4 linked regions of the Canis lupus familiaris genome follow. The protein of the gene in region 1 interacts with the protein of each later gene in a biochemical or structural test. Links are inferred from orthologs where the notes say so. Each region holds a gene or a part of one and is shown in the gene's direction. Other genes may lie near its edges.

What was found.
Region 2: the proteins of FGFR1 (region 1) and ANOS1 form a complex in vitro, tested with the Homo sapiens proteins (3 studies listed by BioGRID and IntAct, with this or other methods). The link is inferred for Canis lupus familiaris from reciprocal best matches to the Homo sapiens genes FGFR1 and ANOS1.
Region 3: the proteins of FGFR1 (region 1) and NCAM1 form a complex in vitro, tested with the Homo sapiens proteins (2 studies listed by BioGRID and IntAct). The link is inferred for Canis lupus familiaris from reciprocal best matches to the Homo sapiens genes FGFR1 and NCAM1.
Region 4: the proteins of FGFR1 (region 1) and FGF4 form a complex in vitro, tested with the Homo sapiens proteins (2 studies listed by BioGRID and IntAct, with this or other methods). The link is inferred for Canis lupus familiaris from reciprocal best matches to the Homo sapiens genes FGFR1 and FGF4.

Annotation. Positions count from the first base shown.
Region 1 is NC_049237.1:27,808,126-27,813,903, forward strand, and holds part of FGFR1 (fibroblast growth factor receptor 1), read left to right. Parts: intron 1-197; coding exon 198-342; intron 343-2,285; coding exon 2,286-2,488; intron 2,489-3,524; coding exon 3,525-3,670; intron 3,671-3,861; coding exon 3,862-3,983; intron 3,984-4,433; coding exon 4,434-4,544; intron 4,545-5,065; coding exon 5,066-5,256; intron 5,257-5,778. UniProt on the Homo sapiens protein: Tyrosine-protein kinase that acts as a cell-surface receptor for fibroblast growth factors and plays an essential role in the regulation of embryonic development, cell proliferation, differentiation and migration.
Region 2 is NC_049260.1:5,430,337-5,436,114, reverse strand, and holds part of ANOS1 (anosmin-1), read left to right. Parts: intron 1-1,680; coding exon 1,681-1,903; intron 1,904-5,778. UniProt on the Homo sapiens protein: Has a dual branch-promoting and guidance activity, which may play an important role in the patterning of mitral and tufted cell collaterals to the olfactory cortex. Chemoattractant for fetal olfactory epithelial cells.
Region 3 is NC_049226.1:19,967,279-19,973,056, reverse strand, and holds part of NCAM1 (neural cell adhesion molecule 1 isoform 1 precursor), read left to right. Parts: intron 1-1,948; coding exon 1,949-2,099; intron 2,100-2,456; coding exon 2,457-2,641; intron 2,642-2,997; coding exon 2,998-3,094; intron 3,095-3,413; coding exon 3,414-3,584; intron 3,585-5,281; coding exon 5,282-5,413; intron 5,414-5,778.
Region 4 is NC_049239.1:48,867,156-48,873,367, forward strand, and holds FGF4 (fibroblast growth factor 4), read left to right. Parts: upstream 1-2,287; coding exon 2,288-2,627; intron 2,628-3,159; coding exon 3,160-3,263; intron 3,264-3,797; coding exon 3,798-3,974; 3' UTR 3,975-6,156; downstream 6,157-6,212. UniProt on the Homo sapiens protein: Plays an important role in the regulation of embryonic development, cell proliferation, and cell differentiation. Required for normal limb and cardiac valve development during embryogenesis.

The DNA of each region.
Region 1 (5,778 bases):
CCCTCAGGGTCTCACTGTCTTTCCTCTAACAGGTCTCACTGCCTGGTGGTTTTTGTGTGTTCCTTGTTGCAAAGGAGACGCTGGGGAGCATTTCTTCCTCCGGTTTCTCCCCCTTCTCTTCCTCCCTCCGTCCCTCCGTGTCTTTTAGAGGTCTCACGTCCCGTGCTTGTCCATTTTGCTTCCGTTGTCTCTTCTAGACTGCCGGAGTTAATACCACCGACAAAGAGATGGAAGTGCTTCACTTAAGGAATGTCTCCTTTGAGGACGCGGGGGAGTATACGTGCTTGGCGGGTAACTCTATCGGACTCTCCCATCACTCTGCATGGTTGACCGTTTTGGAAGGTATACACTGCACTTCTCCTCTCGATGTCCTGCCCTCGCCATGGGCACGGGGGGAGCATGCATCGTGGGGCCGGGGGAAACACAGAGCCAGGACAGGTAGAGCAATGGGCTCCAGGGGCCTGTGGGTGGCCCTGGCAATTTGTCTGAGCTTGAGTGTCGAATCCTCTCAGCTCTCGCGGGAGCTGTCCTCATTCTGCAGGAGCACGGAGGCCTATCCCCTATGTACCTGCATCTGGATCTCCCCCTTAGCCCATGCGATGCATGCATGGAATCTGGGGTTAACCTGCAGCCGGGCTCTCCTGCAGGGCAGGCTCCTTCCCTCCTTGGGTCCAGCAGCCTTCCCTAACTTGTCTGATCCTTTTTTGTGGGTCCCAGAGATCTTGAGAGGCTGGACATGTTCTGTAGAGAGGGCACTTTTTGCTTGTAAGGAACAGTGCTAGCCCATCCTCTGATCTCAGAAGAGAGATTCACCCAGAAGAGTGAGCTGGAGTCTTATTCAAGTAAGGCCTGGCTTGGGAGGCCACATGGGACTCAGTGGTGCCCATTTATCATCTCTGGCTCCTAAGAGTGAAGGTCTATGAGTTGGGTCAGGAAGGAAGGAGCCTGCAGCCTGCTGAGGTGGTGGGTTGTTCATCATTGCTTGTGAGCGTCCTGCAATGGGTCTGGGCGCTGTGCTCCTCCTATTGCTGCTGATACACTGACCTCTTCCTCTCTCTTCCTCTGCCCTGCCTGACCCACGGGATCTGAGAACAACCCTGCTTGAGGCAGAGAAGCGTTCTGTTTTTACCCTGTCACTGTCTTTGTCCTGTGTGTGCTCCCACGTGGTTGTCTTCATGTGTCCCCACCAGAGAGAGAGAAAAACAGAAACACTTCCTCTTGTTATTAGCTCTGCTGTCTCCTTGTCAGGCTGGGGACTGCGTTGGGTTCCATCTTGGGCCACACCTTGCACCTCTCTCGGCAGGGGGGTGGGGTGTGGTCCCCTGGCTGGCTGGCTGGCTGGCTGGCTGGTGTCTTTGGGAGAAAGCCATGCAAGGAAGAGGGGCATTCACACTGGTGGGGATGGAGCCTTTGGGAAGCCTCCCAGCTTCTCATGAGCAAGGGATGGGTAGATTGAGTTGGATGGGCTTCTGTGGAACCAGGCTAGATTCCAAATGGAAGGTGGAGGACAAGGATAAGACAATGCCTCCTCCCCCAATTTCCTTAATCAGTTTTAGGAGTAAGGGCCTGAGTAGAATTCTCAAGTGCAACGGAGCTTTATGTTCTCATCTCAAGCAGTCCAGACATGATTGGAAATGAAGTTAGTTTTGCCTGTGGCGTAGCTAGGTGCAAATATTTACATGTCTGACCCGACCCACATGGCATAGGCAGGAAGTGAGATATCATCAGGATGCAGACTGGGTTCCCTCCCTCTCCTCCTTGTCTTCGTTATGTGTCACAATATGCCAGGCGCTGCAGCATGTGGAAATGAGCACGGTGCCAGTCTGGCCCTCAGGGGTGCTCACGGGCTGTCAAGGACCAAGGACTCATAAGTGGGTCATCTGTCCCATGTGATAGGTGAATACACTCAGTGCTGGGACTCTGTGGAGAAGGCCCAGGTTTCCATGAGGAGACTGAGCAAGCCCTGATGGGTACCTGATACCCATGGATCCCAGTAGGCCAGCTGGGAGGGCTCCTGAGTAAGGAGCCCTCCGCCTGAGCAAGGTGGGCTCCTGAATGAGTGAGCATGGACCCCAGGTAGTGGTATAGTTCTAGTCCATTCCTCTTGGTGGATTTGAGTCAGGATCAGGAAGACTCAAAGGTTTGGTGCCAGAGCTCGGTCCCAGCTGGGACCTAACTTGGTTCCTGTCTGCCCTGAAAATTCTCAGAGGACAGGAGATGGGGGTGGTTTTTCTTATAAAGCTGGGCCCCCAGAGCCTGCTAACACCCTGTCCACACTGACTCAGCCCTGGAAGAGAGGCCAGCAGCGATGACCTCGCCCCTATACCTGGAGATCATCATCTACTGCACAGGGGCCTTCCTCATCTCCTGCATGGTGGGCTCTGTCATCATCTACAAGATGAAGAGTGGCACCAAAAAGAGCGACTTCCACAGCCAAATGGCTGTGCACAAGCTGGCCAAGAGCATCCCTCTGCGCAGACAGGTAACAGAAAGTAGATAGGGGGTCTGCACACTCTGCACCACCTTCTCTCCCTGGGCCCCCAGGGCTCCTCCAGGACCATTGAATGCCCTGTCCTCTCCTCTGTGCCCAACCAGCTTGGCTTTCTAGCTTCTGGGCCAGGGGCGGTGGAATGTCCTAAGTGCTCCCAAGGTGGGTTCCAAGCTATGCTTGCCCATGAATTCAGTCTGCCCATCGTACCCCAACTGCAGGCCCCCTATTCACCTGGCACATGGATCAGGAGAAGGCCCTAGACAGGCCTGATGTGCAACTCATCCTGTACTTTTGAACAGTCCTCGAGGGCCAGTTAGAGGTACAAAGATGGAGAAGAGGACCTGAGTCAGGTGCCAGGAGGCCTCTCCCTCTTCAGGATGCCACCCTCCTCTCATCCAAGGAAATGGAACAGAGGGTGAAGGCGTGTGAAAGGAGGGGACATTCATTCAGAGCTGTGCTAATTCTGGAGGGTGCTTTGGGAGTTAGGAATCCATAATCCAGGGCGCCTGGGTGGTTCAGTAAGTTAAACCTCTGCCTTCACTTCAGGTCATGATCCCAGAGTCCTGGGATCAAGCCCCATGTCAGGCTCCCTGCTCAGCGAGGAGTACTGCTTCTCCCTCTGCCCCCCTGCTGGTGCTCTCATTTGCTCGCTCTCCCAAATAAATACAATCTTAAATAAAAGGGGGTGGGGGGATCCATAATCTGAGGCAGAGTTTTCACAAAGAATGGAAACAAGGATAGAGTTGTGATTGCGATGATAGGTTATATGTCGGTCTGGAAGAGCAAGATTTGGTCTGCTTGTGTTAAAGGTAAGTGAAAAGCTAGCTGATGGCAAAAATAAGTCAGCTTTAGAACTTAGGTCTTCAGACTTCTTGTGGTCTTCCTGCCACTCTGTACTGGAGAGAGAACATCAGATAACAGATGCATACCTCTGCCATTGGTGGAAAGCCCTGACTAGGAATGGCAGGACTCTGCTGCTGCTCAACCCCCAACCCCATCCTCGTTAGAAGGGTGACCCCACACTTCCCTGCAGGTGTCGGCCGATTCTAGTGCATCCATGAACTCTGGGGTTCTGCTGGTTCGGCCCTCACGTCTCTCCTCAAGTGGAACACCCATGCTGGCTGGGGTCTCTGAATATGAGCTTCCCGAAGACCCTCGCTGGGAACTGCCTCGAGACAGGTGATACTTTGTCAGCCTCTGAGGAAGTCTGTCCTCCCACCCCCCGAAGGTGTTACCAGATGCATTCAGAAATAACAATTGATGCTTTCTGCTCTCAATTGGATAGAATATGGAGGGGTGGAGATGGGATGTCCTCTTAAGGTTGAAACTGTATCAGCCCCAACTCACACCACCTTTTTTTTCCCCAAAAGGCTGGTTTTAGGCAAACCCCTGGGAGAGGGCTGCTTTGGGCAGGTGGTATTGGCAGAAGCCATTGGGCTGGACAAGGACAAACCCAACCGTGTGACCAAAGTGGCCGTGAAGATGTTGAAGTGTAAGTGATGTTTCTCCCTTGCAAAAACGATCCCTTCCTTTCCCAAGCAAACTCTGGGCCTTGGGCCATGTAGAACATTCTCTCCGGTGCCCTGGCACTGTCCACACCCGCTACATGGCTGGCTTAGCCTTGCCTGGGAAGGGCATTCTTACCCATCTCACTTTGTCCCTTGGCATCAATCTGGGCTGTGGTGCAGTCAGGTGTTTATTCCAGATCCCATCGTTAGCTGCTTTTTCTCATCCTGTCCTCCACCCTGCACATGAGCACCTATTGCCAGTAGCTCACATAAGGGGGAAGGGACTGTCGATTTGGGTGTGAAATGGGGAGGAGAGAAGCAAGTCCGGGAGAACAGGGCCTTCTCCAGCATACATGCCATCCCCTCCCCCTTTGCTTCCCTCCTTGGCCTCCCTTCCAAGTAAATGAGTCTTGTGTTCTGGTTTGTGTGTAAAGCGGATGCTACAGAGAAAGACCTGTCAGACCTGATCTCAGAAATGGAGATGATGAAGATGATCGGAAAGCACAAGAACATCATCAACCTGCTGGGGGCGTGCACGCAGGACGGTAGGCACCAAGCAAGGCCTGCTCTCCCACCCGGGCTGGCCTACAGTCTCAGCTGAGAACCTGGGCCTCCCACTCAGATAGCAGTGCCTGCCGGGGCAGTGTGATAAGCAGTGACCAGGCATCTCAGCTACGCTTAGGGAAGGAAGAAGGAAGGTAAGAGGAGAGGCCAGTTTAGCAGTAGTTAGCGTCTGAGCTGATGCCCATGGACGCCCATCGGAGAATACAAGTACATAGATTCATACAATGTAGGGGGGGAGAACCACGTGTGATCTAAATTAGGGTTCTTCCTCCTGCCCGCCCCCCCTCTCCCCCCCGAGCTTTTCTTGGGAATTTCCTGGAGTATTCTGGGAAGAATCATTTCCTTGGCTTTCTGGGGATGAACTACCCAGGCTCCCTAAAGGTGGTTAGGATTGGGGAACAAACACGTGGTGTATGGTTGGGGGTGGGACTTCCTCAGGGTAAGGCTGGCCCGGGGCACCTGCCCACCCGCCCTGATGGCCCTTCTTTCCTCACACTCCCAGGTCCCTTGTATGTCATCGTGGAGTATGCTTCCAAAGGCAACTTACGGGAGTACCTGCAGGCCCGGAGGCCTCCTGGGCTGGAGTACTGTTACAATCCCAGCCACAACCCAGAGGAGCAGCTCTCCTCCAAGGACCTGGTATCCTGCGCCTATCAGGTGGCCCGAGGCATGGAATATCTCGCCTCAAAGAAGGTATGGTACCTGAAGGTTCCCTTGGGTGAAGTTGGGGTGGGAATTGAGCCTTCCTTGTCCTCCAAGGTATGACTTTGAATCTGGGCTATAGACGTCTGTAGCACCACCTGCTTGTGCTGTCTTAGGTTTTCAGGGACATCAGTCAGGATAGCTGGTGTAGGTAGCCTTGTGGCCTTCGGATCCAACTGGTTAAGGTTTTTTGTTTGTTTGTTTTGTTTTGTTTTTTTTACACTGGATAAGATTCTAATCTGTGCATTGCCACTTTCTGTCTGTGCCTAGGCAGCTACTTACACATCTCTAAACTAAAGAATAGGGGCTCCTGGGTGGCTCAATTAACCATCTGCCTTCAGCCCAGGGGCATGATCCCGGGGTCCTGGGATCGAGCCCCTCTTTGGGCTCAGAGCTCAGTGGGGAACCTGTTTGTCTTTCTCCCTCTGCTCCTCCCCACTGCTTATGCTTGAGTTCTCTCTCTCTCAAATAAATAAATAAATAATAAATAAATAAATAAATAAATAAATAAAT
Region 2 (5,778 bases), on another chromosome or scaffold:
TCAGGGGCCTCCGGGCGGGGTGTGAGCCGTGCTCCGCGCCACCCGGCTTCCCGGTCCCTGGGCTCCGCCACCACCGAGGCCTGTGGCGTTGCCTGCGTCCCGCAGCTGAGGGAAGCGGGGTGTGGGGGCGCCATACCCACGGCCTGCAGGCCTGGCTCACAAAGCAAAGCTCCGCGACCACGAGGCACCGCTGCAGAGGGGACAACGGGCGGCTGGGAATCTGCCAGGCTGGACAGGTGTGCTGCAGGTGAAAGCGGGTGTAGGGGGCTCGGTTGGGATGTGGGTAGCAATCTTGGCAACCAGCTGTCCAGGCCAAAGGAGGGGTAGGCTGAAAGTTAGGATGATAGTGAGGGCCCTGGCAGCCGTCCTCCGCCAGGCGAAGGGACGCCGCAGCGTGAGGCCATTTCCCTCTGTCCCTGGGGGTGGGGCTGCTTTTAGGATCCTCAGCAGCTCCCTACTTGTGCGGCAGAAAGAAGCCCATATCCTCCGATTGCTTCTTATGTTCTAGTGGCAACCAAATGCTGTCCTGAACCTGTGTTCCCAAGGAGAAAGATGCATTTGATAGCTAGTTCTTTCCGTTACTCACACTCTTTCCATAATGCGACTCTAAATAAATCCAGGAATACCTGTTCTCACTAGTTGCAAAGCTCAGTGACCACAGAGCTCAGCGACCAATCAGTTTGATTGATTCTGGGTTCAACTGAAATATCATCAGCTAGAGGCTATTCAGAACCTGGCTGTGTCACAGGTAACGACGATTCATCTTTTTCACTGCGTAGTTTATTGATAATTCCGTATTGATAGGTGGTTGCATCTGCACATTAGCTCTAGAAACCGGATATTCTTAAAATATGTTCAGTTAAGGGAGGCTAAGATTACTTTTTGATAAGATATCAGCAAATATTACTGCTGTGAGGATTGCAAAGTTCCCGGAGGCCTACAGCTAAGGCCTTGTGATTAGCATTTAACACGTAAACAGAATGACTCATTAAAGAATTAAAATCTGTGTATGTCTACAGTAGTCCAAAGGGGGCCCTCAAATCGTAGAGACGCTTCATGAATATTTCTAATCAATTATTTGACAACTACATTTAACTCAGAATGTCATACTTTGTTGAACGTGTGTATGTATAACTGAGGAGATCTGTTGCTTGCAGGATAATGTTATAACTCATGGGTCAGATTCCTTTTAGAAATTAGCATAAAATATTAGTTCTTTAGGAGGAAAAGAAAGCAAATACATTTATTTCGTAAGACATTCCAGGGCGGGCACCTGGGTGGCTCAGTTGGTTGCGTGTCTGCCTTCGGCTCAGGTGATGATCCCAGCATCCTGGGACTGAGCCCCATACCCAGCTCCTAGCTAAGTGGGGAGTCTGCTCTCTCTGTCTGCCTCTCCTCTCGCTCATGCTCTCTCTCGCTGTCTCTCTCAATTAAAAAGAATTACATTCTGGGGAAATTTTGACCAAATAAGAATTTTTACCTTCCTTTCCAGTGTCTTGGAAATCAAGCATCATGTATCTTTAATAAGTTTTCTTTCCAGGGAGCAGTCTGGGTCAGTCGGTAGAGCATGAGACTCCTGATCTCAGGGTTGTAAGTTCGAGCCCCACGTTGAGCGTGGAGATCACTTAAAGAAACCAAAATCCTTAAAAAATAAGTGAAATTTTCCTCTTCTCTCTTTAGCCTCTCTTCCCCAAGAAGAACTATGAATGCCTGACAAGCTGTGAGTTCCTCAAGTACATCCTGTTGGTGAAGCAGGGCGACTGCCCAGCCCCGGAGAAAGCCAGTGGGTTTGCCGCCGCCTGTGTGGAAAGTTGTGAAGCTGACAACGAGTGCTCTGGGGTTAAGAAGTGTTGTTCGAACGGGTGTGGACACACCTGTCAGGTGCCCAAGACGCTATACAAAGGTAAGGAGGAGAGCTGATGTGACGGGAACCTCACAGAGTCACTGGTGTGTGTGTGTGTGTGTGTGTGTGTGTGTGTGTGTGAGTGTGTAAGGATGTCAATCAAAGAAAGAGAAGAAAAAGGGTCAGAAAACACACTGTGACACACGGAAACTTCTGAAAATATTACTGGACCATACAGATCAGCCACGATGCACTCATTCTGGGGCGGGGCAAGTCCTTCTTATTAGAGCGAACGTTTAGGAAGGTCATCACTTCACGAACTTCCTCGTACTTTTCCGCACGGGGAGTAAGTCAAGTAAGCTGCGCCGTGGACATGGGAGCAAATTGAATTTAAATCCTTGGAAAATAGGCTGGGCGTGGGGCACCCTTGAAAAACGCATAACAAACGCATGGGTTTTGTGGTTTTCCTGTTGGCAGAATCCAAGAACAGAAGTGTCATTGTACGGACTTGAAATATTTTGATTAGCGTCTTGAGAACCCAGATGGAGGAATAGCTTTCTTCCAAAGACGGGGATGCAGTTTACCAAACAGTTTAGCAGATGTAATAGTTTACATTCATGTACAGACACTTTCTAGAGCCCTAAACTCCTTGATGCTAAGGGCTACTTCCCTCTTCTGGGAATTGTGACTCGGTTCTTTGAAAGCAAACCCATTCTGTTGTGTTACGTACAGGTTTGGGTACCATCAGAGTATCCCGGGAGACAAGATTTTGCTGGTTCTTTGGGTCTTCTATGAAGAGTGAGATAGAATCAATCACTAGGCACTATTCATTACAAGTAGAGAGAGTCATCTCTCCCTCCCTCCGTCTCTCTTTCCCTGACACCAAGTATATATTCTTCCCAAATATAGGTCAGTTATTTTTAAACCGTATAAAAGAGTATTGCCAGCAGTGCCAGTGTTGAGTGATGTGCTGTTTTCAGAAGTCTGTTCTTACTATCACAACGGCTCTAGTCTCCCAGAACTCACGTCCCTGCCCATTTCCTCTGGCGCTCACTTGGAATTACTGTCTCTCGAATCTGTACAGTCCTCCCAGTTTTCCTTGTATTTGCATAGGGTCTTGGGAAACCTGGCATAAATATTACGACTCAAATTCAAAATAATTGCCCCTTCCCCGTCTTATCAGGTGACATGTCTTAATGGATTTAAAGTTTTACTGTTTTCATGCCTCTCATAAACTACATAAAATCACTTTTGCAAAACAACAGCATTTAATTTTTCTAAAGTCTACTATTAAGAAGCCTTTTCTGTTATTCTAGATCACTTACTATTTAAGTATTCACATTTACCATAAAAATAAGATGCTTTTAGAATGACTGTTGAAAACCCATTTGTAAAAACCCTTAGTGTTTTAAAAGGAGGGTGTTTTAAAGAGGCCATATAAATTAAAACATGCTTTTTATTTAAAAGCATTGAAGAGTCCGTATGAATTTCAAATATGTCTGGTTCACCAACACTAAGGGAAATATTCTACAAAGGGCCAGCGTAAATGATTAATTATTAAAAGAGACTCACGTTTTAAACCTATGCTTAACTAAATATGATGAATTTTTTTAAAAGTGCTGAAGTCCCTCTTCTATAAAGTAGCTCTTAACTTGGGTTTTTTGCAGAGACAGGTGATTCTTGGAGAGCTAACCAGGAATAGAATAAACAGACTCTTGACCTGACGGTGACTTTTGCCTAGTGAGCCTAGGACAATATTACTGTTATTTTGAAAATATATATAAGTCCATGTAGGTATTTCCCCCTTGCTCTGTTGAGCAGTCCCTGAAGGAAGGCTGGCTTCCACATTGCTGGGGGGGTGGGGGGGGTTCTGACATGCCACCAGGTAAGAACATGTGAGCCACAAGGGCTCCCCACAGCCTGCTGTGATGCTTTCTGTGACTGTCTTCGCTGATTAGGCACCTGGACTGTCTAATCACATCCCTGACCAGGACTCACACTGCTTGCTCACTCTCAGGAGAGGACAGTGGTGCTGAGTTGTACCTAGCACTTGGCTTTGCAAGGACAAACACACGCAGCCAGACAGTCTGCATGCAAATCACCTTTGCCAGTCTGTAGAGTACCTGCCATCAGGGTCCTGCTCGCCTGGGCTTTGTCTTCTTACTGACCTGAACCAAGTGGGGGAGATCACCTTGCCCTCCTCTTTTCTGCTCGTGCTAGGTCTTTGCCATCTTTTCCCTCAGGGAGCAGCACCCCGTCATGGGTTGGGATGGGCTGGTCCTACTCCCAGTCCACAAGTGCTGGAGTTGAGGCTATAAGCCGTTGCTCAGGTGATTTTTGGTAGCTGGTAGTAGAAATACATGTGACCTTAGCTCCCAGCTGGGCCAGCTCAACTATTATTTTCATTTTGTTTGTTTGTTTTTTTAAGATTTTATTTATTTATTCATGAGAGACAGAGCGAGAGGCAGAGACATAGGCAGAGGGAGTAGCAGGCTCCGTCCGAGGAGCCCAATGTGGGACTTGATCTTGGATCCTGGGATCATGCCCTGAGCTGAAGGCAGATGCCCAACCGCTGAGCCACCCAGGCATCCCTATTTTCATTTTGAGTCTATCCAACTATCATAATGGACCACAAATTATTGTATTAATATAGTAGAGATCAATCAAAAGATGGATCAATATCAAATATTTTAATGTGATAAAATCACTTATTTGTCATCGGGTAGAGGGGATAGCATCAGTCTGATAGCAGCCCCTATCTGGTCCAGTAGTGCCCTATCAGGGTAGTCATGCACATAATGCTCATTTGTGCATAAATAATTATCTCAGCTTCTGTAGTAAATTGATAGGTGTCAACTTCCATCCTGTTTTTTCCTTTATTGTGTATGAGGTTAAGCATTTATATAAATATATGTATACCTGAGCTGATTTGATTTGCAACTGCTGATTCTCATCATTGAGTTTTCTATTATTATATTTTCTGAATTTTTTAAATCACTAAGTTTCATATATGTATATATTTTAAAGATTTTATTTATTTAGTAATTAATGAGAGATACACAAAGAGAGGCAAAAACATAGGTAGAGGGAGAAGCAGGCTCCCTGTGGGGAATCCAGTGCGGTACTTGATCCTGGAACCCTGGGATCATGACCTGAGCCAAAGGCAGATGCTGAACCACTGAGCTATCCAGGTGCCCCAGTTAAACATTTATGTATTTATTTTTCTTTCTTTCTTTCTTTCTTTCTTTCTTTCTTTCTTTCTTTCTTTCTTTCTTTCTTTCTTTCTTTCTTTCTTTTCTTTCTTTCTTTCTTCATGAGAGACACAGAGAGAGGCAGAGACACAGGCAGAGGGAGAAGCAGGCTCCCCACAGTGAGCCTATTGCAGTACTTGATCCTAGGACTCTGTGATGACTTGAGCTGGAGGCATGTGCTCAACCACTGGCACCCAGGTGCCCCTAAACATTTTTAAAATACAGAAACATAAGTGTTCTGTTTAGCCTCCTTTGTTTGTGGTAGGGAAGATGGTGGACATACTTGATGTTATGGCTTCTAAAGCTTTAGATGCTGCAAAATTGAGGGTTTTTTTAAAAAGATATATTTATTTGTTTGAGAGAGAGAGAGAGAGTGAGTTGGGACAAGGGGCAGAGGGAGATGGAGAGAGAGAGTCCTAAGGAGACTCCATGCTGAGTGTAGAGCCTGACGGAGCTGATCTTACCACCTTGAGATCATGACCTGAGCTGAAGTCAAGAGTCAGATGCCTAACTGTGCCACTCAGTTGCCTCAAACTTGAGCACTTAAAAATAATGCATATTTTGAAAAGATGTTCAACGGAATGCATTATATTTGAGCATTTAATTTGGTCTATGCTGTTAAGAATTATCCTTAGCTGATGCCTCTGGAGTTTAAAACAAAGGAAAACAACAATTTTTTTTCAC
Region 3 (5,778 bases), on another chromosome or scaffold:
GACCACATAGAAGGGGAGAAAAGTATGGCTGTCAGTGAAACCACTTCCCAAGCTTCTCTTCAACCATTTTCTAGAATATTCTGAGTAAAGACTGCTCATGCCCTGCTTTGTTGTTGTTACTGTCCTACTCTTACCTACATGACTCTCTTTGCAACTTTTGCTGCAGTATTACTTCCATGGTGGAAATGTTCTCTTGATTTCTTAAAGCTCTGGTCAGTTTTCCATGTTTGTGGGTGTTGAGCCCAGGACAAGCTCCGTCTGTTTGACAGTCATAGTTCGGCTGCTGGCTGTCACTATTGGCTGAACCTGTGTTCTCATTGAGATAACCAGAAGGGCAGGGGGTGGACCTCGAACCTTTCTGCCTTTGTCCTATGTTTGGGGCAGACAGGAGTGACAAACAGATCAAGTCAGCCCTTCAGAGATACTTGCAAGGATGCTCTCGATGCCACTAGTTTAGACTGATGGGTTAATTTTTGTATGACTCATGGAAGTTGCCACTGGTAGATACTGGGACAACCCTGTTAGCCCACAAGAAAAGGGGGTCCCAGGATCCAGGGACCCTTGTTGTCATCTCTCACTAATGTATGACATCTCCTGAACCAGTCAGCCTTACAGACTTACAGTCAGGTGGATGTTGAGAGCCATGGGCATCTGGGCACTACTCTGAGAGCAGGGTGGCCTTTGCAGAGTTAGGCAGTAATGATTTTGCTCAGCTCTCTGCCTCCTTGCCAGCTGTAGTGTTCCAGCTTCCAGATATGAACCTCGATGGGGCTTAAATGCCTGAGATGGATTAGTTCCATTAGTGATGGTCAGAGGGACTTCTTGGTACAGATCTGCAGAGACTGCCCCATAAGGCCCGTAGGCCTTTGCTTTTGAGCTGCCCAGACTGTGTGCAACTTTGCAATTCTGAGTTTCAGACTTCCAAACCAGCATTGTCAGAAGAGCCTGAAACAGGTGTTCTTCCATTCTTTAAAGACTCAACCCCATGGGACGACAGATGCCATATGCAGAGCACTCACCTGCCGATCTCCACAGAATATCATATGATGGAGATAAGAGTGTGGCCCAGCCTATGAGGAGCAAGACTCCTTCTTCAGATTACCAGCTTTCTTGAGGATCTGAACTTGGGCAGCACGCCCAGACTTTTCCTAGGCCAGCAACCATTATACATTTTAGATGGTCAAAGCAGGAGCCCCTTGGAAATATTCCAGTTCCCTTTGCCTAGGGATCATATGCTTATTGCCCTTTTGACCAATCACTATAATTCCAGAGACTCAGGAAGCCAATTATCATATCAAGGGCTAGAATATGGTGGTGACTGCCTGGGACTCTGTACCACTCTCCCCGGAGAGGGACCCAGTTACACTCACTTCCAGCTCAACAGCCTCTCATCATTGAGTTGTTGGACTTTCTCTTGAATGAAATTGTTTTCTTTTTAAGCATTCAGGAAAGTGAGGCATCTGCAGAAATATAGGTTTCTTGTATAATTTCTTGCATTTGGCACATTCGGATTTCCCATTACGTGCACATGCACCATGGAACTAGCAGATGGGCAGACTCCTCGAAGGAAAGCATAGGATACAGGTTTCCCAGAGTCTCATGAAGCAAAAGCTGTTGCTGCTGGAATCTCTGCTGGCCGGGGCTTTTGCTTCCACTTTAGACATGCCAAACAAAGTCATCTTGGGGGACCTTGGTTGTCCTTGCCCCAAACCAATCTTGGCACAGAAGCTAGACTGCTTAACATAAACTGAGTCCCATTTTCTATTTGGGTTACACTCAGGTTCCTGTGGTGCTCTCCAGAGCCTCCCACGCTAGTCGGTGCCTTAAGTGAGAGACGCGGGCACAGATTGGGGAAGAGGATGTGAGACTGGCCGCAGACAAGAGATGGCCCAGTCTCCTACCCTCAACCCTGCCTCGGGCACTGACGCTTCCCCTTCCCTCCTGGCAGACTCTGGACGGGCACATAGTGGTGCGTAGCCATGCCCGCGTGTCATCCCTGACCCTGAAGAGCATCCAGTACACAGACGCCGGAGAATATATTTGCACCGCCAGCAACACCATCGGCCAGGACTCCCAGTCCATGTATCTGGAAGTGCAATGTGAGCAGTAACTGTGGAAAAATGTGGGGTGGGGGGGACCCTGCAGGGTCAGGATGAAAAGGGAAATGAGCAGCCAGGACCTGAGCTGCACGCTACTGCTCTGCTCATGCTCCCTGTGGCGGTTGCCCTAGGCCGGTCCAGAGCTTTGTCCCCAAGTTGTCCCAGGCTCCTTACAAGCTGATGAGCCCTCCTATCTTCCCACGTGGCTCACAGGACTGCTGAGCCAGCCTGCCCTTTACTCTGCCCCGGCACTGGCTCTGCTTTGGGGCACACCTGCCCACCCGGGGTTAGGAAGCGGGGTATGCGGGGCTCCTCTCTGGTGCTGGCCTTCCTGATGGGCATTGCTGTCCCTCGCAGATGCCCCCAAGCTGCAGGGCCCCGTGGCTGTGTACACTTGGGAGGGGAACCAGGTGAACATCACATGCGAGGTGTTTGCCTACCCCAGTGCCACAATCTCGTGGTTTCGAGATGGTCAGCTGCTGCCAAGCTCCAACTACAGCAATATCAAGATCTACAACACCCCCTCCGCCAGCTATTTGGAGGTGAGTTGGGGCTGGAGCAGGGGAGGGTGGAGAAGACACAGGCTGCCTATGGATATGCAGCTAAAACTTCCTCTCTTGCTTCTCTGGCACATCTTGACTAGAGGAGCCAGCAGCTATGGAAGAAACGGAGCCTCAGCCCGGCCCCTTCTCTCTCCCAGGGCCAGGTCATGGCCTGGGGGACCAGACATGCCTCTCTCACTGGCCCCTTGGCAATTCTCTCTGGCTTACAGCTGGGCTGGAGCTAATGGTTCATGCTTTCCTGTTTCTGTTCTTTACAAATTAATCCAATAAATAAAGATCTCTGTTGGTGGCCATTCCATGGGACACTTAAAACCCAGAGTTCCTTCTCTCCAAAGGTGACCCCAGACTCTGAAAATGATTTTGGAAACTACAACTGTACTGCAGTGAACCGCATTGGACAGGAGTCTTTGGAATTCATCCTTGTCCAAGCAGGTAAACACCCTCTATGGCCACACTATCCTTACCCTTGCTGGCCTGTCCCATGCCCTCTGATGACCCCAGGAGAGTAGAAAGAAGAGGGCCAAGGTAACCAAAGACAGGGTCAGGAAGCAGGGAGCCCGTAGAGGCTCAAGGTTGTGAGCACAGTGGTTGTTGGGAATAATCCTATGGTGAGCTGGGCTGGGGGACAGGATATAGGCGACAGGATTCCCATGAATGAGCAGAAATGAGAGACATGCTTCGTGACTGAGAGTTCTGTCCTGGACCTAACCGGGCTCACCTGGGTTTCCATCTGTGCACCCCCCCCCCACAGACACCCCGTCTTCACCATCCATCGACCAGGTGGAGCCGTACTCTAGCACAGCACAGGTGCAGTTTGATGAACCAGAGGCCACAGGTGGGGTGCCCATCCTCAAATACAAGGCTGAGTGGAGAGCACTGGGCGAGGAAGTGTGGCATTTCAAGTGGTATGATGCCAAAGAAGGTACGTGGGGAAGAGTCGGCATTTCCTTTAGAATGATGGGTTGCTCGGGGTTGGGAAGACACTCACCCTGAGTCCCGGCACCCTGAGCACCTGCTGGGGTGGCGTGGCACACCGTGCTCACCTGCTGAGGATGCCACATGCCAACACTGCCATCCGTTCTTGTTCCTGTGCTGCAGAAGCATCCCTGTGCCTCTAGAATTAGGGCACGGTCACATCTCCTCTAGATTTGCTGGCCTTCTATCCCCTGATACCTCAGAACCTGCTTCTCAGGACCGTACTAAGAGGGATGAGGCCATCTCAGCCACGTTCCAAGCAGGAGTCATGCTCAGGTGTGGCGCACAACCAGAGAAGCCCAGTCCACCCCTGCCCTGCACCTGTGGGCTCCCCGGGCAGCAGGTTCTCTGCCATCACCCATCCGGTCCTGCTTGGTGTACTCGGAGACTGTCATGTAACTGTGGTTTTAACCAAATAACAAATTGCCAGAGAGAAAAGTCTGCTCTTAAATCTGCCTGAGATATTATTTCCAAACTAAAAGTGTAAACAATGACCCTTGGATGCCTGCAGTCGGAAGATTCAGAGCCCAGACCATTTTGCCCTGAGGTTTGAGTTTATAAATGTACCTGACTCTCCATTTGGGGTTTAATCAGGATACGTCAGTGAAGTATGCTTTGTTCCTATAGAAAGTTTTAATCCCAGTCCTGTATGTGGTAACAGGGGCAACCACCTTCTGACCCGGTTTTACTGAGAATTTGTTTCACCAGGAAGCTTCCATCACTCCTTCAGCTTTTGGTGTTGGGGGAGCAGCCTGGGAGGAATTTCTGTGCCATCAGGACTGGAGCCAGGAGAAAATAATCTCTTTACCTCCCTAACTTCCCTCTGAAACCTCACACCAACTTTACGGCGAGTTGGTCCCGTGTTAACAATCTGTCCAGCTGGCTTTTTTTTTTTTTTTTTTTTCCTTTTTGCCATTGCTACAGCTGGATTTCCTCCCCTTTTGTATATTTTTGTAGTTCAAGTATAATTAACTTTCTGGCTCTATTTTTGTTGTAGCAAAATACGTAGACTATGAAATTTACCATTTTAGGCATTTTTAAGTATACAGTCGAACAGCGTTAAGTACATTCACATTATTGGGCGCAACCATCACCACCATCCATCTTCAGACCTTTCTCGTAATCCTAAACTCAGCGCCCGGTAAACACTAACTCTCCATCCCATCTCCCGCCCTCCCCAGCAACCACCCTTCTACCACCTGTCTCTGTGTAGTTGACGATTCCGAGTACCTCCTATGAAGGAATCATGTAGTAGTTGTCCTTTTTTGTGTCTGACTTATTTCACTTACCTGATGTCCTCGGGCTCACTGCATTGTAGCACGTGTCAGAGCTTCATTCCTGGGCAAGGCCGACCGATACTACTGTATCCACAGCACCTTCGGTGTATCACTCACCTGCTGATGGACACGTGGGTTGTTTGGCTATTGTGAGCAGTGCTACAGTGAACGTGGGTGTCCCGGTATCTGTTCCAGTTCCCGCTTTCAATGCTTTTGTGTACTTACCCGGACGTGGAATTGCTGGATCACATGGCAATGCTAAGTTTAATTTTTTGAGGACCCACTGTGTGGTATTCCACAGCAACTACGCCGTCTTACCAATAAGCTTTCCAAACCCCTTGTGATCCTTCTCGTATTCTCACCACAGCCAACATGGAGGGCATCGTCACCATTGTGGGCCTGAAGCCCGAGACCACATACGCTGTGCGGCTGGCGGCCCTGAATGGCAAGGGCCTGGGTGAGATCAGCACGGCCTCCGAGTTCAAGACACAGCCAGTCCGTAAGTACAAGCAGCACCCTGCCTCTTCCCACACCCACCCTCTTCTCCTTGGGAGCAGAGGCGCCCCTGAGCCGCCCCATCCTTTGTTCGGATGACAGCTTCTTGCCTTTCAGATTGCTCTGCTCAGGGAGGGCTCACCTCCTAGCTCCTTGGCCCTCAGTGATGGCTGATACCCAGCCCCTGATGCTGTCTTTCCCAAAGAGCTTGGTGACCCTGTCACAGTGATAGCTGGTCCCACTTGTTAGCATCACAGCCAGGGCGGCAAAACACCAGCAGCTCCTGGAGGGATTTGGGAGATTTCGTTTCTTGACACAGGTCACAAAGGCCCTAAAGCATCCTGTGACTTGAAGGAAGAGAGGAGGGTT
Region 4 (6,212 bases), on another chromosome or scaffold:
CAATGATGCAAGCCGGAGCCCCCCACAGGATAAGGACATGTGAGTTCTGACCCATTACTGTGAGCCAGGCCCTGTCCGAACCTCCATGGGACTTGCCCCCAAAGGACCCACTGTCCTGACCTCAGCCCCAGGAATAGCTGCGGTGGTGCCCATTTTACAGATGGAGACCCTGAGCACAATCAGAAGTGAAACAGCCAGCGTTCCAGGGCCAACAGGGAGAGCTGGATTCAAACTCAAAGCAGGAGGCTGAGAGCCCAGAACCTCCACAGGGCCCCACACGCTTCCTTGGATCCCAGATTCTTGGTAAATGGGGGCCCGTGGGGTGTGAGCAGGGCCTGGTTCAAGTCCTCAAGGAGGCTGGATCTGCAAACATTAGTCACCTTGGTGCATCTGTTGCTTCAAATTAAAGAGAAAAAAAGCCAGTGTGGAGCTTCCATGGGGGGACCTGGCACTCCAACCCTTCCATCTCCCTGGCACCCCGACACTGCTATCTCCTCAGCATCCAGGCGCAGCAAGGGCTTGGGTGCTGCCACTTGAACGGGAGTGTCTGTGGGTAGAGGGGGCTCCGAGCTGCCCCGAGCCAGGCTGCCATTCATGCGAACACCTCCTGAACACCTACTGTGGGACTTTCTCAGTCCCCTACACCTGTGCCCCCCCCAGAATGATCCAGATCTGAAGTCTCATCTGGAGGGTCCAGGGGCCCCAAAGCAGCCTGAGCCAACAGCCCAGGAAGGCCCCTGCCTGGGTGGGCGCTGCTCCAGCAGGCGGCACGCACAGAGAGGAGCAACAAGCCTCGTGGGAGAGGCTGGAGACCTGGTTCTGGTCCTGCCAAGCCTCCCTGCCCCCGGGGTTTCAGGACAGAAACATCAAATCTCCCAGGTCACCTCCAGCGGGGTGAGTGAGCTCTGGCAGAGTTCAGAGGTTTGATCCAAGGGGTCCTCCTGCAGGAATGGGGTAGGAGGTGAGAGAGGACGAAATGGAAATGGCCTGGGGGTGTCTCTGGTCACAAGCGCTGGTGGCAGCAGGGGTTGGGGTGGGCTCCAAGCCCCCCCAAAGCTATAGCTGGGCAGGACCTGCTGGGAGATGGCAGCAAGGCTCCTCAGGTACCACAGAAAACAGGGATTTTCACACCTAGGTGAGCCAGCACCTAGCTGGGCCTCTGGGGAGTCCGGCCCTCATCAGGCCATAATGCACACAGTGGGGAGTGGTGACAGCAGATGTCTAGAGTGTGGTGCTCCAGAGGCTTGGCCTGGGTCCCCACCGGATGGGGGGCCTCCAGCTACAGCACTTGACTATTCCTCCTGTGAATCAGAGGGGAGGGAGCCGTGAATGTCCTGTATGGCCCTGAGCCCTGCCACCTGTCCTTGCATGGAGGAGGCAGCATGTAGAAGGTGCAAGGCTGTGGCCTCTCCTGGGTGCACCCCCACCGCCTCAACCGCCTTGCATTCCCTTAGCAGCGTCCACTGGAAGCACCTTGCTGGGGGATGCCTCTACCTGGCTCGCAGAACTCCATCTCTGCATCCGCCCCAGTGCAGGGGACACGTACCTGCCCCCAGCCTCCGACCTTTCGCGTTACTGGTTACCCTAACCTACCCCCCAAACCGAGGCGGGTCTGCATGGTGCCAGCAAAGGAACCAGGTTCCGGAGAGTCCCCGAGAGTCCGGGCGCCAGGGGTGGCTGCTGGGCCCTGAGGGTGCCCGCTTCGCGCAGCACTCAAGCGGCTCAGGCAGAGGCGAGAAGGAGACCGCAGGGACAAAGTGCGGAAGGCAAAACTTCGGCTGGAAGGCAGGGGCGCAGGAGACGCGAGGGGCGGGACCAACAGGTCGGCGAGCCCGCGGAGCCCGGGGTGGGGGCCGGGGACCCTCCAGGTGGCACTAGCGGCGCTCGTCCCGGCCGCCTCCCCTCCCCCAGCCCTGATTGGCAGGCGGCCTGCGACCGGCCGCGAGCGCCACAGCGCCCCGGGCGCCCAGGCGAGCGCGAACGGCCCCCCGCGGGAGTAGGAGGGGGCGCCCGGCTATATATAGCGGCTCGGCAGCGGCCGGCCCAGCGCGCAGGGAGGCGCGCACCGCTCCGCAGGGTCCCAGCCCGGCCGCGCGTCCCGCCCGCCGCCCGCCGCCCGCCGCTCCATGCAGCCCGGGTAGCCCCGGCGCCCGGGGGCCCCGCGCCTCGCCTCCCGCTCCGCCTGCGGCCGCGCGCTCCGCACCGAGTCCCGGCCGTGCGCTCCCGCGGGCCGCCACAGGCGCAGCTCGGCCCCGCGGCTTCCCGGGCGCACGGCCCGAGGGCGGGGATGGCGGGGCCCGGGGCGGCCGCGGCGGCGCTGCTCCCGGCGGTCCTGCTGGCGGTGCTGGCGCCCTGGGCCGGCCGCGGGGGCGCCGCCGCCCCCACCGCCCCCAACGGCACGCTGGGCGCCGAGCTGGAGCGCCGCTGGGAGAGCCTGGTGGTGCGCTCGCTGGCGCGCCTGCCGGTGGCCGCGCAGCCCAAGGAGGCGGCCGTCCAGAGCGGCGCCGGCGACTACCTCCTGGGCATCAAGCGGCTGCGGCGGCTCTACTGCAACGTGGGCATCGGCTTCCACCTCCAGGTGCTCCCCGACGGCCGCATCGGCGGCGTGCACGCGGACACGAGCGACAGTGAGTGGGGCGCGCCGGCGCGAAGGGTGGGGGCCCCGGGCACAGCCGCCCCTTCCGACCCGCACGCGGAGGCCCCGGCTGGCACCTGCCGGCGGCCGTGGGAACCGGGACGGACTCCGGTTCCGGTCCCCCCCGCAGGGACAGAGGCATCCGCGGCCCCGGAGTCCGGCGGCGACTGTCTCTGCGCACCGGGGCGAACGGGCCCCGCCTCCCCGCCTTCGGAAGCCCCGGCTCTGGGTGCCGAATTCCAGCGCCTGCGCCCGCGGGGCCCGAGAAGCGCGTCCGGGTCGGCCCGGCTCGGGGACCCTGGGGGCCACCCGGCTCCTGCTGCCCGGGACTGGGCGCGGCCGCCGCGGGGCCGGGTCGGGAGGCCAGCCAGTGCGCACCCGCGCACGCCGGGCTCCGGGGCCCCTCTACATCCACCCCCGCCCCCAGAAACGGGGTCCCGGTGGCCCGCGGCCCGAGGGGGTTCCGGAACGGCTGGGGCGGGCCAGGGTCCCCTGCCCGGGAGTGACCCGCGCCCCGCCCCCAGGCCTGCTGGAGCTCTCGCCGGTGGAGCGGGGCGTGGTGAGCATCTTCGGCGTGGCCAGCCGGTTCTTCGTGGCCATGAGCAGCAAGGGCAAGCTGTACGGCTCGGTGAGTACCGCGAGGGCCAGCAGAGCACCCGGCAGCGCGGGAGGATCCGGAGTCTTCCAGGCCGGCCTGTGTATGCCTGGAGCCCGGATCGTGGGACTGGTGGGTCACAGGACTGGCACCTCCCCCCCAAACACAAGTACTCTGCGGCCGTGCGGGTGACCCAGGCCGTCCAAACAAGGGGCAGAGACCCAAGACAGGAACAATGAGGTCTCTGCCATCCCCGCGTGGCACTTCCTAGTCCATTAAGAGGTGCCAATACCAGGCCTTCTCTGTAGCCTCTCTCCGGTGGGTTCCATCAGGCAGGACTGCAGTCTCTGGTAGGAGATTCTCTGGCCGCCAGGTGCTGAGCAGGTGGCTGGAGCACCAACTGCTGTGGGCTGGTCACCTTGGTCTTCTCACCCTATGGGGGTCTTGGCACCTCAACTTCTCTCAGCCAGATCAGGGCTTGGCCAGAAAGGAGCCCCTGACAAGTGACCCTCAGGGTTCCTTGGCCAGGAGGTGGCCCCACCTGACTCTGTCCCTTCTCCCTCCCAGCCCTTCTTCACCGAGGAGTGCAAGTTCAAAGAGATCCTGCTCCCCAACAACTACAATGCCTACGAGTGCTACAGGTACCCGGGCATGTTCATTGCCCTGAGCAAGAACGGGAAGACCAAGAAAGGGAGCCGAGTGTCCCCCACCATGAAGGTCACCCACTTCCTCCCCAGGCTGTGACTCCAGGCATCCTGCCTCAGTTTCCCAATGCTCAGGAGACTTTCTCCAGATGGACAATTTAATGCCAGAGTAGGTGTAAGATATTTAAATTAATTATTTAAATGTGTATATATCGCCACCAAATTATTTATGGTTCTGTGGGTGTGTTTTGTATTTTTCTGGAGAAAAAAAAAAAGAAAAGAAAAAAAAAAAAACCCAAACCTGAGTTTTCTAGTAAGACCGGTGAAGACCTTTCCACTGGATTTATTTAACTTGTCAAAAAGTTGTCACAAGTGTGCTGCTACTCTGTGTTTTTAAAAACGGTGACGTCAGACTCCAGTCTCAACCCTGCTTTGCACGGTCCCTTGTACTGTGGTGCTGAGCATCTCTGTGTCTGGAGAGGCCTTCCTGGGGCCATGGAGCCAGCTAAGGACCCTCCCAGCCCTGGCTCTGCTCCTAGCATCCTCCGGCGCCCCACTCCTTTGTGCCCTGTTGCTATTCATCGGGACATATCGCCTTACTTCGGGTACAGAAAATGCACTGTGGGAGTGCACCACTGTCACTCTGTTTTTAGATCTGCCAAGACTGACCTTTGAACTTTTCTGTAGTCAATCTTCCTCCATCTCCCCGATGGGGGAGACTCTTAGACAACTTTATAAACTCCTGTTTTCCTTTTTTGGCTCAGCCACAGCCCATGTTTCTCTGTGGCCACTGAGGAAGAGGCAAAAACAAAGCAATTTTGTGAATCCGACGGAAAGGAACCCATCTCCCGCTGAAAAGCTGGAAGTGGATAGATGGGTATATTTGCAACCACAACCAAAGCCCGAGTGATAAAATACAATTTGTGGTAGCTGGTACTTCTGATAAGTCATAGAATATAGATTTTGTTTGTTTGTTTTAATGTGCTTCCCTGTGCCTGGGAAGATTTGAGCTAGAACTAGCTGTTCTTTTTAGATGGAATGTCCTTGTCATTGTACAAAAACACTTAATGCAGTGTTTGCATGGAGGAAGGTGCCGCTTCTCTCCATTGCATTACCTGATGAAGTGGACTTAACATCTACCTCGAAACCCTTAACCCACTCATCTGGTGAAATCTGCAGAAAGCTCAGACCCGGCGCAGGCGTTCCCTATCCCAAGTGGCTCTTTTTCCATATGTAGCCAAAGAGGATTGCAGATAGCGTCGGTGCGTCCCATTGAAACCTTGTCACGTTTGAGCTATCTTTACCCCGTGATTTACTTTTAGTAAGGATAATCATGGTGAAAATATTTGCAGACAGCTGTTAGAGTGCACTATATGGTCACCAAGTAACCTTATATTTTTCTTTATATATTTTACAAATGTAACCCCTGTCGCTGCAGCAAAGATGGAAGAGGCAGGGTCGGTGATGTTTAAAAAAAGTCCTGAGGTGATGGCAAACATTTAATTTTAATGAATGACTTTTTAGAGTTTATACAAAATGACCTTAGCTCGCTACCAGAAATGCTCCGAATGTTTTGTCAAGACTTTAATGCTCTCCTAGGATGTTTCTGAACCACCTCCCAAATTAACTTTATGGGAGTCTACAGACAGCAAGACTGGAAAAGGCTGATTGGAGTTTGTGTCTTTCACATTCCTTTTTAAAACTCTTTGTTCGAATGCAAATCATCTACTTAAAATACTGTCCTTAAACCAAGGCCTTGGAGGAGGAAGGAAGCCGCTCGTGAAGCCTGATGGCTGGACTGTACATCTCAACCGGCCGTCCCCGTCCGTGCGGTGAAATAAAAAATGTTTTCAATTTTAAATTGCGTCCTAGGCTCCAGGAGTCTTGAGCAGAGGGGATGCTCCCAGGTCTCGGTGCTGATGGGGGGGAGGGGGCGGGGCTGGAATGTGTGGACATTCGGTATTTCAAATACTCGCTTCCTAAGTCTTAGCTGCCTTGGGATGATGGCACGATGTCTCATCTCAGAGCCCAATCCGATTGTCAGGAATGAAGATGTCTTAAGTGCAGAATGTGGTGATCCTTGGCCACTTGCTAGTCAGCGAGCCTTGTGGGAAGCGTATAGAGATGTCATTGGACCTCTGCAATATTGCAAAGTGTTTTCTACTGTCGTGATGGGATCTAAGGTTTCTGTACTTTCCGCGGTTTGCAGGATCTGTCTGTAGTTTTATACAGGTGCTGAGCCCTATTGTGATGTATGTGCTGTGCACATTGACATATGCCGAATAAATGGAAACATTTGTCATGTATGAAAAGAACCCCATTGGACTTGATGTAAAGA